2 linked regions of the Lytechinus pictus genome follow. The protein of the gene in region 2 purifies or fractionates together with the protein of the main gene of each other region. This does not show direct contact. Links are inferred from orthologs where the notes say so. Each region holds a gene or a part of one and is shown on either strand. Other genes may lie near its edges.

Region 1 (7,691 bases), about 9.9 Mb from region 2:
TTTGGTCTGTGGCACAGGTTTCCGAAATATTTTCTACTTTACCTTACGTTAATAACTTTTTCTTTCTCTTTTATATTGCTCTTTCTCCTGTTCTCTCACTTCTTTTTTTCCTTTTTTTTTTGGTTTAGCGGCGCCTTCTGCATCATGAAAAATGGGGGGGGGGGGGGCTCGCACCCGAAACCTCCCGTTTTGCTATGCATATATACATCAGAAAATTTGTAAACTGGCCCTCATTCTAAGTTTTCATAGAACAATTGAACACGATTAGTCATAATAATAACAAATGCTGAATATCTCTGATTCCAACTGATCTGATTTTTTCAAATATTTATTTTGGGTTTAATTTCAGGAAAGAAATCAGGCAAATAGATAAAACGTAAAAAAGACACATTCATAGGTAGAAATATTGAAAGTCGATAACGCAACTATCAGCACTAACACTGTCAAGTAGACCTATAAATATGTTATTTTAAAACAGCAACTAACAAGAAGCTAAGAATTATGAAACAAATGGTGCACATTCCAGGTTAAGATGTGGCTTTATAACTTAATACAAGCTAAAAAACTTTATGCAAAGATAATACACACAAGAACACCTGGTAAATTACAAGATGTTTTTGTGTGTATTATGCTTGGGTGAAAGCAATTAAACATTAAAGAAGGAAATTAAGTACCAAATTTACTAAATTGTAAACAATATGACATAATCAAATACAGTGTTTTTTCTATACAAATTGGCAATCATGATAGTATACAATTCGTTTAAGGTGCATTTTAAGGACGGTTTGTAAGAATTTATAAAGAAGTAGGCCTATGCAAATAAAATAATGCGACCGAGCAGCGTGAGCTGAAAATATTAATATTTAGACCATAAAACGGACATTTTACAGAGCACTTGAAAAATCAATTTGTAAATTTAAAAATTTGTATTTTTTAATCATTTTCCAAGTCATCCCCTGACCTTTTTTTTTCACTCGTCTTCCTCCTCTTATTTTACCTCTCATTTTTCCTCCTTTCTTTCCCCTTCTTTTTCTTTTTTTCTTTCTTTCCCCCTTTTTTTTCTTCATTTTTTTGCCCTGCCAATAGGGGGGGGGGGCCGGGTCCCTCGGCCCCCTGGATCCGCCTATGGATGGAGCTCAATTTTACAGCTTCTTACGGCGTACGTTTGATTCCAAGATACTCGAGAATGCCTTGAGTACTTCTTAAGTCAAACGTACGGCCGACGTATGACTCTGTGCACTCCCTTTGTCCGGGGGGTAGTTGTCCGGGGGTAGTTGTCCGAGGGGTAGTTGTCCGGGGGGTAGTTGTCCGGGGGGGTAATTGTCCGGGGGTAATTGTCCGGGGGTAGTTGTCCGGGGGGTAATTGTCCGGGGGGTAATTGTCCTCGGGGGGTAGTTGTCCTCAGGGGGTATTTGTCCGGGGGGTAATTGTCCGGGGGGTAATTGTCCGGGGGTAATTGTCCTCGGGGGGTAATTGTCCGGGGGGTAGTTGTCCGGGGGGTAGTTGTCCTGATACCATCCCGATGTACTAATTGCTGTATATACTCATGCGTGACCAAATTATCTCCAAACACCCCCCTAAACGATTTTTTTTCTCTGTGTGCAAAATAACCACCTAAACAAGTTTTTCGCGGGCCTTTACACAATTTAGCCCCCAAACAAGTTGTCGCCAGAATATGACCCTTAAACAAGTTTTGTCTCACTTGATAACAGTAACCGCGTTTTCCCGTTTCCCATGCCCGTTCCCAGGGTCGTTGCTTACAATCGGGAAGAACCCGAACTGACACTTTTCAGAAACGAGGAGGAAAAGGCCTGGGGGAAAAAAATACCCTAAACACGTTTGGCTATAGTCTTTAAAAAAAAGCTTTGAAAAAAAACATACCTTAGTACGTTTGGCCCCGCGATTGACCATTGACAAGTCTTTCAAAACCAGCCTTTAAAAATATATATATACATATATATATTTCGCCTGAGTCCTGATAGTTTTGAATTTCATATGAGGGGTGCAGGATATATGGCCCAATTATCTTAACATCAACTTAAAAAGTAACAAAAGTTCAAATAAATAAGTGTACAAATTATAAGCGGCTTCGCGACTCAGTATGGGACTGAGAGGTCGGGCCTTCCGACACCACCGTAATACCCCCCCCCCTCGCACTTGTTAGCAAAAAATAAATAAAAATAAAAATAAATGATATATAAATAAAATCAAATAATAGTAATATAAAAAAAACAATTGCTGATCGAGCGATGGAGAGTGTATGGAAAGAAAATATCAGAATAAACTTATCTGACTTACTTCAGACCGTCATCAGGTTGATAGAAATTGAGAACATCCCCACCGCCCTTTCCACCCTGCATGGGCCCATATAACCTCACCTTAAAAGTATCAGGGGGCGGATCGGCTTTCTTTCACCAATAGAGGGGCCGGGGGAATATTTTCATCCACAGCTAGTTTTCCCCCATCGGCCGCTAAAAGCTGATTTTTGTCGGTGTTGGAGGGATTGGAGGGGGATACGTCCCAACTACTAACAAGATAATGTCAGAATAAATAATGTTTGAGCGATCCGCGAACTCAAATTTAATGATATTTCACTATCAGAAATTGCCAAAATTTCGAGAAATTTTTGTACGCAGGAATAAAATATGTATCTATATAAATGAACGATTGATGCGAGCGAGAACCGCGATCGAGCTGAAATTTTTAACATAGGCCTACTGACCGGACCTGATAAGGATTGTTTGCAGTGACGCATGAACAAGATACAATAAAAATGAAGTCAGCGCGAAGCACGAGGTGATTTTTTTTTATTTTCCCACCTGAAAACAGAACATTCGAGCACTTTGTTGTGTTTATCTTTTTATGAACAGGAAAGTTATATTATCAATATGTGTGTGAAGAGAGACCTGATCACTTTTGATATTCCGATGATCTGAAAACTGAACAAACGTATTTACCGGCCCCTTAATAATTAAAGATCAAAGAGTACGAGAACGAGTAGTCAGGAACAGGACGTGTATCTCGCAGAAAAAAATACAGAAAACTGTAATCACGGGCAGATTAATTTGTGTTTATGTATTTTGAACCCATATATCCTCTAAATAAGAAGATTGTTATCTCACTGAACAGGTATAATGCGAGCGCGGAGCTTGAACGAAATTTTTAGTTTGATTTGAACTTGGAACTGAATTTTGTTTGAAATATTTTCAATTATCCTCCCTACCCTTCTTTCGATGAAAGTATGGGGAGGGATAGACCGGGGGACAGGGGGATGGAGCTCAAGCTTGAAAGCCTCTTCCCAAATCATAATAGAATCAATCAGCAGCTAAAATAATGGATCCAGACTTTTGTACTCGTTAACTCTGATTATCTTTGTATAACGCGCCCGATTGATTATAAAAGGATTTTCTTCCCGTGTTTTTGTTTTGTTTTGAAATTCTATTGTTCTAATTGCACGTAATTCCCATAGATTTCCAAACCATCTACTCGATTATATATCTAGGTAAATATCCGTTAACAAAATGTCATATCAAGTCATTTTTTATAACGGGCTTAATTCTTAGTTCACGAACCTTCAGAGGATCTTATGACATTATTTCATTTTTATTTTTTTATTTGATCGAGGGATAAACGTCTTTTCTCATGGGCCAGTGCATGGTCAGCGCCGTCAGGGGCACCGTAATTCGCCTGAATCCCCGGAGTGACCCAAATGCACTGAATTTCCTGATAAAATGGGAAAGTATAATAATTGCAATCTGTTCACTAATGTTGTGTTGTCGCTGGATCGAGACTTAAATGAGACGAATCAATGCAAGATGTAGAGTTCATATGAATTTATTAAAGATGATAACTTGATGATGATGATGATGATGATGATGATGATGATAAATACATGAGTAAGTCTGATGCTGACTGTAGTCCGGGACTGTAGTATACTCTGAAGTATATAAAATAGACTCTGCAAACTGATGTAGTATACTTTTCTGTAGCTCTAAACTCCAGTCTCTATTCTGTAAAACTCTATAATCTATTCTCTAACCAATCTCTATTATCTGATCTGGGTTCAGAAGTGAACCCCTTTTATATTGGTCTGGTCAAGACCATTTACAACCAAAGTGGTGTTGGTCAACCTTGGACGCTTGACCAAAACAATCTGTACATCATAACTTTACTCCGAATTGAGGTAGTTGACCTTTTAGGGAGAACATATCAATGTATAGTGAATAAGAAAACCCATAAAATGTGTTTGCGTCAGAAGTTTAGCTAGAAGAAGAATGAGTAATACTTTCTTAAGAAAGTTGGAGTTGGTAAACATATGATTTAATGTTATACTTCCTGTAGAAGTATTGATTAAGTATTGATTATGTATTGACATATTATTGAATATGTGAGATATGTCTTATCTTCACATAACACTAAATTGCCAATAAAATTGTATGGTTTTTAAACAGCTATAAATCTTATTCCTTGTCCGATTTCTTCTTATTCTGTTTTTCCTTATTTTCCTATTCTACCAAGGTCATTTACCTTTATATTTTCTTCATATATCGATTAATTCTCAATCAGGCTTTTCCACTTTTTTTCCCCGAGATTTTTCATCGCTATTTGTATATCCCCCTCTACAAAAGACCCCTCCGATCCCATTTTTGACCTGGCTTGTCGCCCTCTACGTTCAAATGTAGAATTAATCTGCAAGTCATAGAATTACGTTCTAACGCTTTCTGACAACAGTGTATCCATTTAGACGATTAAATTAACATTTCCTGAGTAGGCTATTCTTTATTATATCACCTAACATGTCGGGGACCATTGTAAGTATTGTTTAAGAATACGAAATATTTTATCAAAGTATCAAAACATGATTTTGAAGGTTACTCGATGTGAATGACTGAGACTGGTCTGAGTGACTGTGCAGTGTCTTACTCACTGAATCTGAATGGAGATTTCACAACACCTCTCACTCAGTTGCTGTCTGACTCTGAGCAGTGAGATCAAGGCCCCGTCTTTTACTTTAGTAAGAGTTACGATTGATCTGATCAATCGCAACTATGGACAGCCAGCAAAATCACCATATAAAATGCATGATTGTTCCAAAAAAAAATCTAGATATGAATGTATATCCATAAATTCATTGATTTCTTGACAATTTGGTGTGTTCTAACTTCAAGTTCTAACATTTAACAAGACATTTTGCAAATTTCCTGTAGGGCCTACTGTAGAGAAAATTATGGCACTGATGGATTTCCATAAGTTATGATTGATTGTATCAATCGTAACTCTTTGTAAGACGGGGCCCAGGAGAGCGAATTCTGAGTCAGGCCCAGTGCATATTGGTACTATGGACGGTAGTGCAGTGCGATAAGTCAGTCCATACATTGCACAATAGTAGTGGGTGATTGTTGCCATGTTGGTGTTGCCTGTTGGTTGAGAGTCACTCAAGGGTCCATTACAGGTAAGACTAAGTCTAAGAGTTCCATATGCACCCCCCACTAAAATTGAAAATAAAAACATGGAGAAGGTTCAGAATAATATATCTAGCCCTAATATCGAACATATATGATGGGGAAGTGGAAATACATACCAATTAAATATGGCTTTATTCCGTCAAATTTCGAGCGAGACCTTGTGCGTGTAATTGTCCATAGACATCGGTTTATTTAGTCAGTAAAGGGTCTGCGAGTCAAGACTAGTCGAACTATCGGCTGATAATCGTAAAAATACCCTTTCCGGTATCAGCGCTTCTCGCTAGCATAGCGGGAAAGGTCTTGACTGCAGATCAAACAAGGTGAGTTCGAGTCCCAACTAAGGTAAGCAACAGTAAAAAAATGATAGAAAAATCTGAAGTGAACGAACCGGAAGTCTCAACAATCTTTTGTTATTTTTGGTGGGGGGTGCATATGGAACTCTTTCCCCATTACATGCCGCCGTGCACAGAAAAATCAAACCATAGAAGTCGTTAGACAGCTGGCAGCCGTCTGTTTCAAGGAGTTTTAAAAAAAATAAAAAATAAAAAACATTTAAAAAAAAATTCTCCTCGTACACAGACGGCTCACTACCGTGCAGCCACCATTAGGGGGTTAACAATGCAAAATCCCCCCGACGGGGCTCATCGATTTTTTTGTCTTTATTTCATAAAAATGTATAAAAAGAACTGTACCAAACTAAAGATTATTATTCCATTCCGGCCTGAAATGCACCAAAACGGGGAAAATAAACTTAAAGAGGAATCCAGCCTTGGCCATAAAATGTTGTGTTGGGAAGGAAAAAAATAAATTAAACAGAATGGTGAAAGTTTGAAAGAAATCAGACAAGCAATAAGAAAGTTATAGCTGCTTTAAAATTGAGAAGTTTTCCCTTCCTCACATCAATTCTCCAGGAATGATAGAGAATCCACCGGGGGTGGCGTCTTTATTGGAGTCTCAAGAAACATCACGACAGAGAATAAACCAGAGCTCTCAACGGACTGTGAAGTGGTTTGGAATAAGATCAAACTGAAAGGTGAAAGGGAACTCTATTGTGGCTCCTTCTATATGCCTCACCGTGACATGAAACACCTAAACCAACTCCGCAACTCGTTGGAGCGCACCATGGAAAATCTCAGAGACCATCATGTTATTTTGACTGGGGACTTTAATTGTCCAGACATAGATTGGGAGCACCTCAGCACTCGACCAGGCGCCGCTGAGAGAGAAGTACAACAAGCTCTTATTGACATCACTTTGGACTTTGGCCTCCATCAAATACATGAGCAACCTACAAGGCAAGACAATCTGCTAGACCTCGTCTTCACTAACAACCCATCATTGGTGAAGAGTTCAAACAGCACGCCGGGGATTAGCGACCATGCCATGGTAGTAACGGACTTTGAGATCCTACCCCACATTGTGAAACACAACAACAAGAAGTGTTACATGTTTCAGAAAGCTAACTGGACTGAAATTCACCAGCGAGCTGCAGTGTTATCTACTGAACTCGTCACTAAAACTGACTGTAAAGTAGGAATCGAAGAAGTTTGGACTCACTTCAAGACATCACTGTTTCAGATCCTAGATGAACATGTTCCCTCCAAGACAGTGCGAGGTAGGAAATCTCTCCCGTGGTTTTCACACAGCCTCAAACGAATGGTGAAGAAGAAAATGAGACTTTACAAGAAAACCAAGAAAACCACCCACGGTGCAGCCAAGAAGAGTGCATGGAAGAAGTATACAGACTTCCAGAAGGACTGCAAACAGGCTTTCAAAGTAGCTGAAGAGAATTTCATCCTATCTTCAGTCATGCATGGTTTGGAGGAAAACAATCCTAAGCCCTTCTGGAGATACGTGTCCTCGAAGAGGAGAGATAGAACTGGTACCCCAGCACTAAAGAAGGATGGTAATCTGATCCATGATAGCAGACTGAAGGCACAGATGCTGTTACAACAGTTCAAATCGGTCTTCAACTTGGACACCTTCATCCCACCAGTTGAAACAAGAACTACCAAGCCTGCACGCAAGATTGACGATCTGCACATTTCTGTCTCTGGTGTGGAAAAGCTACTTGGCAAGATCAACATCTCAAAAGCAGCTGGTCCAGACCTTATTCCTAACATCATTTTAAAGGAATGTGCACCCGAACTTGCTCCTGGCATTACAGCGATGTTTAAGCTGTCAGTGGACTCTGGTGCTCTACCCCTCGACTGGAGAGATGCTCAC
Region 2 (7,036 bases):
CAAGCAGAATAGCTTCACATATGTTGCTTTAAGAGAAGCTTTGTTTTGCCTTAAATGATAAGCTTATATTATATTCAGAAGGATCATAAATTGATAAAATCATAACAATAGGTACCAATGAAAGCTGCTTGATGTGGTGGAGGAAACAAAATACTGTTCAAACATTGACACTTCAATGTATGGACAATATTGAGTACATGATATATATATCTTTTCATCTATCATGATATTGGTAACAATTGACATTTTAATGTGTTTCCGGCAGTTTAATCTGTGTTAGGTAGACATTCTTATTACTCCAGATCTCGCAATGCATTTAACTGTAAAAAAAGAATATTTCACTAAAAAAGTAGTAAAGAAATTATATTTCAGTAAGATTTTGCAGTAAAGATAACAAGAGAAATAGGAAAACCTTATTCAAACCAAGATGTCAGAATGATAAAAAATTCATATTCTTTCCTCCATTATCAGCATAGTTGAGAAATCTGCTACTCCAATCAAAATCATCAGAGGCCATGGAGAGGGTCATAAAAAGGAAATCCCTAACCAATATTCCCTCCAGGAAGAGTTCCTTTTACGACACCCACCAAAAGTGGAGAAAAAAATATAGGCCTATATATTGGGGTTAGGGTTGCTGTCGCAAAGGAACTCTTTGCTTACCTCCATCTCCATTCTAATCTCAGTAAACTCATTACTTTGTGAATGTTCCCTCTACTCTCACCTGTCACTGCTCTGACCATCCCAGTGCTGTAGAATATCCCAGAGGGAGGATGAAGACTCAAAGCTATGCTGAAGCCGTTCACCCGTGAACAACTGCAACGCCACCGTGGTGGAGCCAGACCGATTGCGTGGGACATCTGATTTAACCAGCTCCAGCTTGGCATTGTTGGGTACATTGGAATATCGGAAAGGAACCTGGACATCTAGGACGGTCCTCTGGTGTCTTCAAGTCAGAGTGAAATAAAAGCAATCAACATTGGAATATCAGAGAGGAACCTGTCTTTGTGGTCAATTCATGATGAAGATTACCCGACTATGGTGCCCATTTTTGTTCTGCCAAAGATATGACTGAATTAGCGAAGCTACTAACTAACCCCTGTGATCTTTTATTGATAAGCTTAGATCCATGATGAAATTATCCATCATATGTCAAATGTCCAAAAGATTCAATGTGTAATCATCAGGAAAACAACTAAATCAAGTCTGTCTTGGATTTTTGCATTCACATCATTCCCTATTTCAAGAACTGCAAGCTAGAAATATTGCTCTTAAAGGGTTCTTTTTCCAAGATATTCACTTTTGAGTGAAAATAATTTCAGGTACTTATCTTATTGAATGATGAACAATTTTACAACTCATTCAAAGATGATATTTAAAAATTTTCTGAGCATCACCATTTATAAATCAAGCAATTACACTATAATGCACTTTAAGATCAATCCAAATAAAAATACATTCTTTTTCACAAAGAGATTGATCTACTGTGCAACTAAAAGGGACAGGAGGATTTATCTCTCCTCATAAAAGAAAGTAATACAGATGCTTTTATTTTCAGACCTGTGCCACTGTACATAGTTACATACCGGTAATTAGAATTCTTTACAATTTAAAACTTTGTGAGGATAAAGATACTTACTAGTATGGTAGGGGGCCCTAAAGCTACGCACCACTCCAATGCGCATGCAATTTCAATTGCAAAATGCGCACTCTGTGTGGAGCTAGTGACTGCAGTGTGACGAACGATTCCTATTCATTTTTTTCTATAGAGGCTGCAATAAATCGCTAAATACAGAGAAAACCAGCAACTGTTTGGAATTTTGGAGTTATATTCACTTTGATTTCATATTTTCCTATAAGAATATGAACATTATTTAGAAGTCTAGGCACAGGAAATACTTTTTCTTTGCATGATAAATTGAGTGCGTAGCTTTTAGGACCCCTTCTAATCGGGCGGCGAAATCAAGAGGTGTTCGGAAAACACGGCGGGATTTTCGTATTAGTGAGTTTTGTGATATTTTCTTTTTGGTTATGAATCTTTACAATATTTAACACAAATTTGTGAAAGATGATTTGTTAGAATATTAAAATTGGCATAGTTTTTATCGTTTGTAAACAAAGTGCGTAGCTTTAGGTCCCCCCATCATATACTATATCCAAAAATGAAAAAGATAAATTGTCAGGATTCCCTAGTAGTGACAACCATTATACTAACCAATACAATTCACAAATACAGACAGATTTCATATTTGATATGCATCTACTAGACAAAATAGCCCATGACTTTCAAGACTTTGCTCACTCCCTCCCTATCTCTGAAAGACTTACTTCAAATTGTGATCATCTGCATTAAACTTCTGTTTCTGACACACTGTCTCGATGATCTGAAAATGAAAATCAATATCAATGACATATTATACAAATAATTACAGAAGCTTTATTGCAGCCATCACAAACCTTTTTTTTTTATTTGAACAGATTAAATGCCAATCTTGTTTCTCTTTTTCATGGAAAAGAACTTGGAATCACTGCTATAATTTAAATCTAAGCTAGCTGCCTCGAATCTAACATGGATCTTATTTCATAAATTGTGCCATAGCATAGCCATAACTTAGCCATAGGCCTAACTGTTAGTCGGACAGTGTGGGCGGCGGCAGGGCTCTTTCACACACACTATCAGTATCACCGAGTCTTCATATACCTTCATATACACTAGCCCGGTGGTGACGGGCAAATTAGCAATAGCATAGCTGTTCGCTAAGCTGCTCTCCAATGGCAATGCGATGGATGACACAGCGCAATTTCTCACGCAGCTCAAATGAATAATTTTCAAATTTCATAAGTAAACCAAACACCTTTGCACAAACAATTTTTTTACTCACTTGAATAATAATATCAGACTTACCTCTAGGATTCTCGTATTAGGAGAAACTTTGACAATTTGTCGTCGTCCATTCGGACACAAGACGTTCACGTTGGATGCCATTTTCACTCTTTACTACATGTAGTCTTTCTCGAAGCTTTTTAACAAAAACAACTTTTCGCTTGTATCATATCAAGCGCTTGAGCCATTAAGGGGGGGGGGGGGTCCGACCGTCTCCGACGGGCACACAATTTACAATTATATTACATTTCGTTGGGAAGGAGCGGGGTAAAATTCAGGTTTTGTTGAAAGTTGATGGCCTGTTATTAAATTCATTTGTAGATGGGGTGGGGCCGGGCGGGGTTATTCAAGAAGCATTGTCATGCAGTTACCAAAAACTTGTGTTATTGTTATCATCCTACAGCTTAATCAATCCAGATTCCAAATAAATATGAGTATAATAGAGATAGAGTAAAATATTGTGCCTATTAATATAGCAAAATCCCAAAGCAGTCAAGACTTACAACTTCATGTAGAGATTGTTGTGGCAGCTGGGGGCATGCAGAGGGGCCCATCTTTGCTGGATAAACTAAAAATAAATCTTGAAAACCTAGAATATTAATCAATCTGTTTTTAGCTGAGTGTGACAGTTCATGTGGCATTGTTATACTTTTTAATGCAACATATTGCACCACATATTTTGCGAATGAAATGCCATTAATTTAGCAGATTAAGTTCCCACCTCACTTTATCCTCATTTCTGTATAATACTAGTATTTGTTAACAGTCATATATACAGTCATAATTATTTTACACATTTTTAATATATGGCATTTATTTGCAATTTAGGATATATGGACTTATTCTCAATTTAAAAAAATATGAATAGCCCAAGATAAAATTCCTTTAATCTTTTTCTTACATACCATTTGTCTGCCTTGCTCTCTTGACTTATTTCTTTTAACTTCATTGATTATGCAAATCTTTTTGAAGGATAATTTTAACAGTCGTCACACAGACTAATCAAATAAATAAACCTTGAACAAAATACCTGTATGAAGAACAATTTACTTCTTTATTTCTGAACTTCCTATGGCTTATGTAACATAAAAACTGAGCAAATATTGCTCATACAGGGTATCCTTTTTATACCAATTAAGAAAGCATTATGAATAAAAACTTGAGTCACTACTGATACACTTGTATTTTCTAAATACAAATAAATAAGAAATATAACTACTCCAAAATCCCTCTCCATACCTAAGAATATCCATCAAAATCATTATGGGCTTTATTAAACCTTGAACGAAATTACATAAATGTACTGTATACTTTTCACTCCGAGTTCAAGATGATTTAAAGAGTTGAATTAAACAAGTAAAACACTAAAAAGTAACTGACATGAGACAAAAAATACAAAGTAATATAACTTGCTAGCATTTTGAAGCTTACGTTATGAGCCCCCCCCCCAAAAAAAAAAGGGACACTGTCCAAATGAGTGGTGTGTTGGTGCCAAAAGCCCACCTTTGTAATTTACTCTAAGAAAACATAAATATTTCACTTTTCTGCTCCAAGAAAATAAGGCTGTCACTCTGGGAACTATGGCAACAACTTCAACTCAGGCCAATCGCATCGATCGCCATCTGAAGAGTCCTATAACAACACTGAACATCAATGTAGTACAAATGTAAAAGAAAGGTTAATCTCGATTATGTAAAAAAAAACTTTTCATTTTAGGTAAGACATGGTTTGGCCCGTCAGTGTGTAAATTCATTGCTTCCACACAGTTACTTATGCCAAAAACAAGGAGGAGCTCATAAATCTATGAAAATGAAATATCAAAAATATTATGTACCAAAATAAAGATCTGCTGATGACATCATTAACTTACTCATTTGCCCACCATAATTTCACAAAACAATGTAAACTTCAAAATCATAGCACTTTCTTACGTAATTTTGTTGACATTTGATTGTTACACTTGATTGTTATACTTGATTAATTCTTATTTACTTAATTTAAATCAACTTTATCCCAAGGACACACAACTAACACTTCTTGAATCCTGTAAATTCCTACGTTTTCTATACAATTTTACTCAAAGATGACCAATATCTTACAAAGGTATATCTGTCAAACATTTCACCCCTATAGAAACCCCTATCAAATGTGACAAAATTTTAATGGCTAGTTTACATCTAAACTTATTAAGTCTAACAAAGTACTTTTAATTTACCTTGATTTACACAAAAATCTTATATTCATTTTCAAAATAAGATTGCAATATTCTAACTATGAAATAAATTTCATGATTAAATGATTAAATCACCATACTCCCAAGTTACATACATATTACCGCATATAATCACCACAATTAAAAAAAAAAAGAAATATGAAAAAATACACAGCTCATAATAATGAGCGTTTCATCCATTTCAGTTAAGCAATTTTACATATTCAAAATATATATGCATTATATCACAAATAATGATTTGAAGTCTCAAACCTTCCGTATTAGTGCAGAAAGAGTTGCAATCAATCGCAACTCTACAAATCATGCGCAACTCTACAAATCATGCGCAACTTGATTTTCAACTAATCAACAGCGCGCATATGGGACTTGCGATTGATTTTTTTACTTGCGTTTAAACGCAACTCTTTCTGCAACGGACCCCTGATAGGGCATTGGTGAATGGAAGCTCCCTTTCCAAAAGCTGACATAGAGGGCCTCCAGACTCGAAACCCAGTGCCAGGTTAGATGAGGGGATTAGCACTGGGTATGGGATTGGGAGTCGGGAGGCCCTCTATGTTAGCTTTGGGAAAAAGAGCTTCCGTACACCAACGTCCAATCTAGACTACTTCCTTATAGGATCTGGGGCACATTGCAATAAGAGTTGCAATCAAATACAACTCAAGAAATCAAACACAACTTGATTTCAAACCAATTAGAAGTGCGTATTGGGAACTGATATTGATTTTTGTTTGTGTTAAACACCCCACTCTTTCTATCATGTGCCATAGATAAGGAAATTTGAAGCATCACATCAACACCATGAAACACATAAGGTTTATACCGCATATGAATATATTAAAAAAACAGGCGAAAACACAGAAAAAAATCCAGGATTCCAGATTAAAACATACATCCACTGCTGTGGAAAAAGATCACACAATATATTAAGTCATGAAATGGAATAAAATAAAGGGTTGATTCTCATATTGATCTTCCACTCTGTTAGTTTGAAAATGTAAGCCTGACACCCGCTTATCACAGTCACACCTAGACTTCAAACCAATCAAAGCTAATTACTTTAAATGGCATATCATTAGTCCTTTTGAAGTCGGTGTGACTGTAGAATACATTACGACCTATGAAATCTCTCATTAGTATCTCCCTTAGAGTGATAAAAAAGTCATAGCACGATCTTTAGTCACCTATTTATCAAAATTGATAGTCCTTCACTAATTAATGTGTTTGGCACTGGGTTTTTTTTTAATGGTCATAATCATTCTTACTACCATGCGTATTCATGTGTTTTGCATGGTTTAGTAAAACAAGTTACATGCACCATAGGAAACATACAAGTCCAATCTCTACAGTGTACTAACAATATACTTCGTTAGGTATTATTGCCTTAAAGTATAGCACACAAGTTATCTCAATGAATTCTGATGACTTGTGAATTCAAAAACTATAATGGTACCAGGTGCCGCGGAACGGTTTTCAAAGTGGGGGGGCTGACCATGCTGAAAATTACAATCATATGGTAAATTTTACATTTTGGACACGGTTTTGGAAAAAAGTGGGGGGCTGAAGCCCCCCCCCCCCCCCCGGTTCCGCGGCCCCTGTAGAACATTTTGCAGAAACAAGTGCAATCATTGGACTTTTTAAATTGTACGAGTGAGCTGGATCAAATGCATTTATACCATAGAACCTGTACATCTCATGGATTAAGAAAAGTTAACAAATCTTTGTGAATTCTGGCCTATAAGAGGATTATTTGATGTGTCTGACTTATCTTACATCAAGTATTAAAGCAAGTTTGACTTTTTACTTATCTCTAAATACAAAATATCAATGGCAATTGTCTGGCCGAAGATGAACTTTCATAACTTATGAACTAAAACTATAATTTTGTTTGAGTTTCATCACAAACACACACATTAAGCTGCTTT

What was found. The genes of interacting proteins can lie anywhere in the genome.
Region 1: the proteins of tether containing UBX domain for GLUT4-like (region 2) and nuclear protein localization protein 4 homolog purify together in Homo sapiens (affinity purification with mass spectrometry; 3 studies listed by BioGRID and IntAct, with this or other methods). This does not show direct contact. The link is inferred for Lytechinus pictus from reciprocal best matches to the Homo sapiens genes ASPSCR1 and NPLOC4.

The regions. Positions count from the first base shown.
Region 1 is NC_087254.1:29,540,220-29,547,910, forward strand, and holds the start of nuclear protein localization protein 4 homolog, read left to right. Parts: upstream 1-4,670; 5' UTR 4,671-4,796; coding exon 4,797-4,811; intron 4,812-7,691. UniProt on the Homo sapiens protein: The ternary complex containing UFD1, VCP and NPLOC4 binds ubiquitinated proteins and is necessary for the export of misfolded proteins from the ER to the cytoplasm, where they are degraded by the proteasome.
Region 2 is NC_087254.1:19,605,929-19,612,964, forward strand, and holds the start of tether containing UBX domain for GLUT4-like, read right to left. Parts: upstream 3,014-7,036; 5' UTR 2,984-3,013; coding exon 2,903-2,983; intron 2,382-2,902; coding exon 2,326-2,381; intron 944-2,325; coding exon 722-943; intron 1-721. UniProt on the Homo sapiens protein: Tethering protein that sequesters GLUT4-containing vesicles in the cytoplasm in the absence of insulin. Modulates the amount of GLUT4 that is available at the cell surface. Enhances VCP methylation catalyzed by VCPKMT.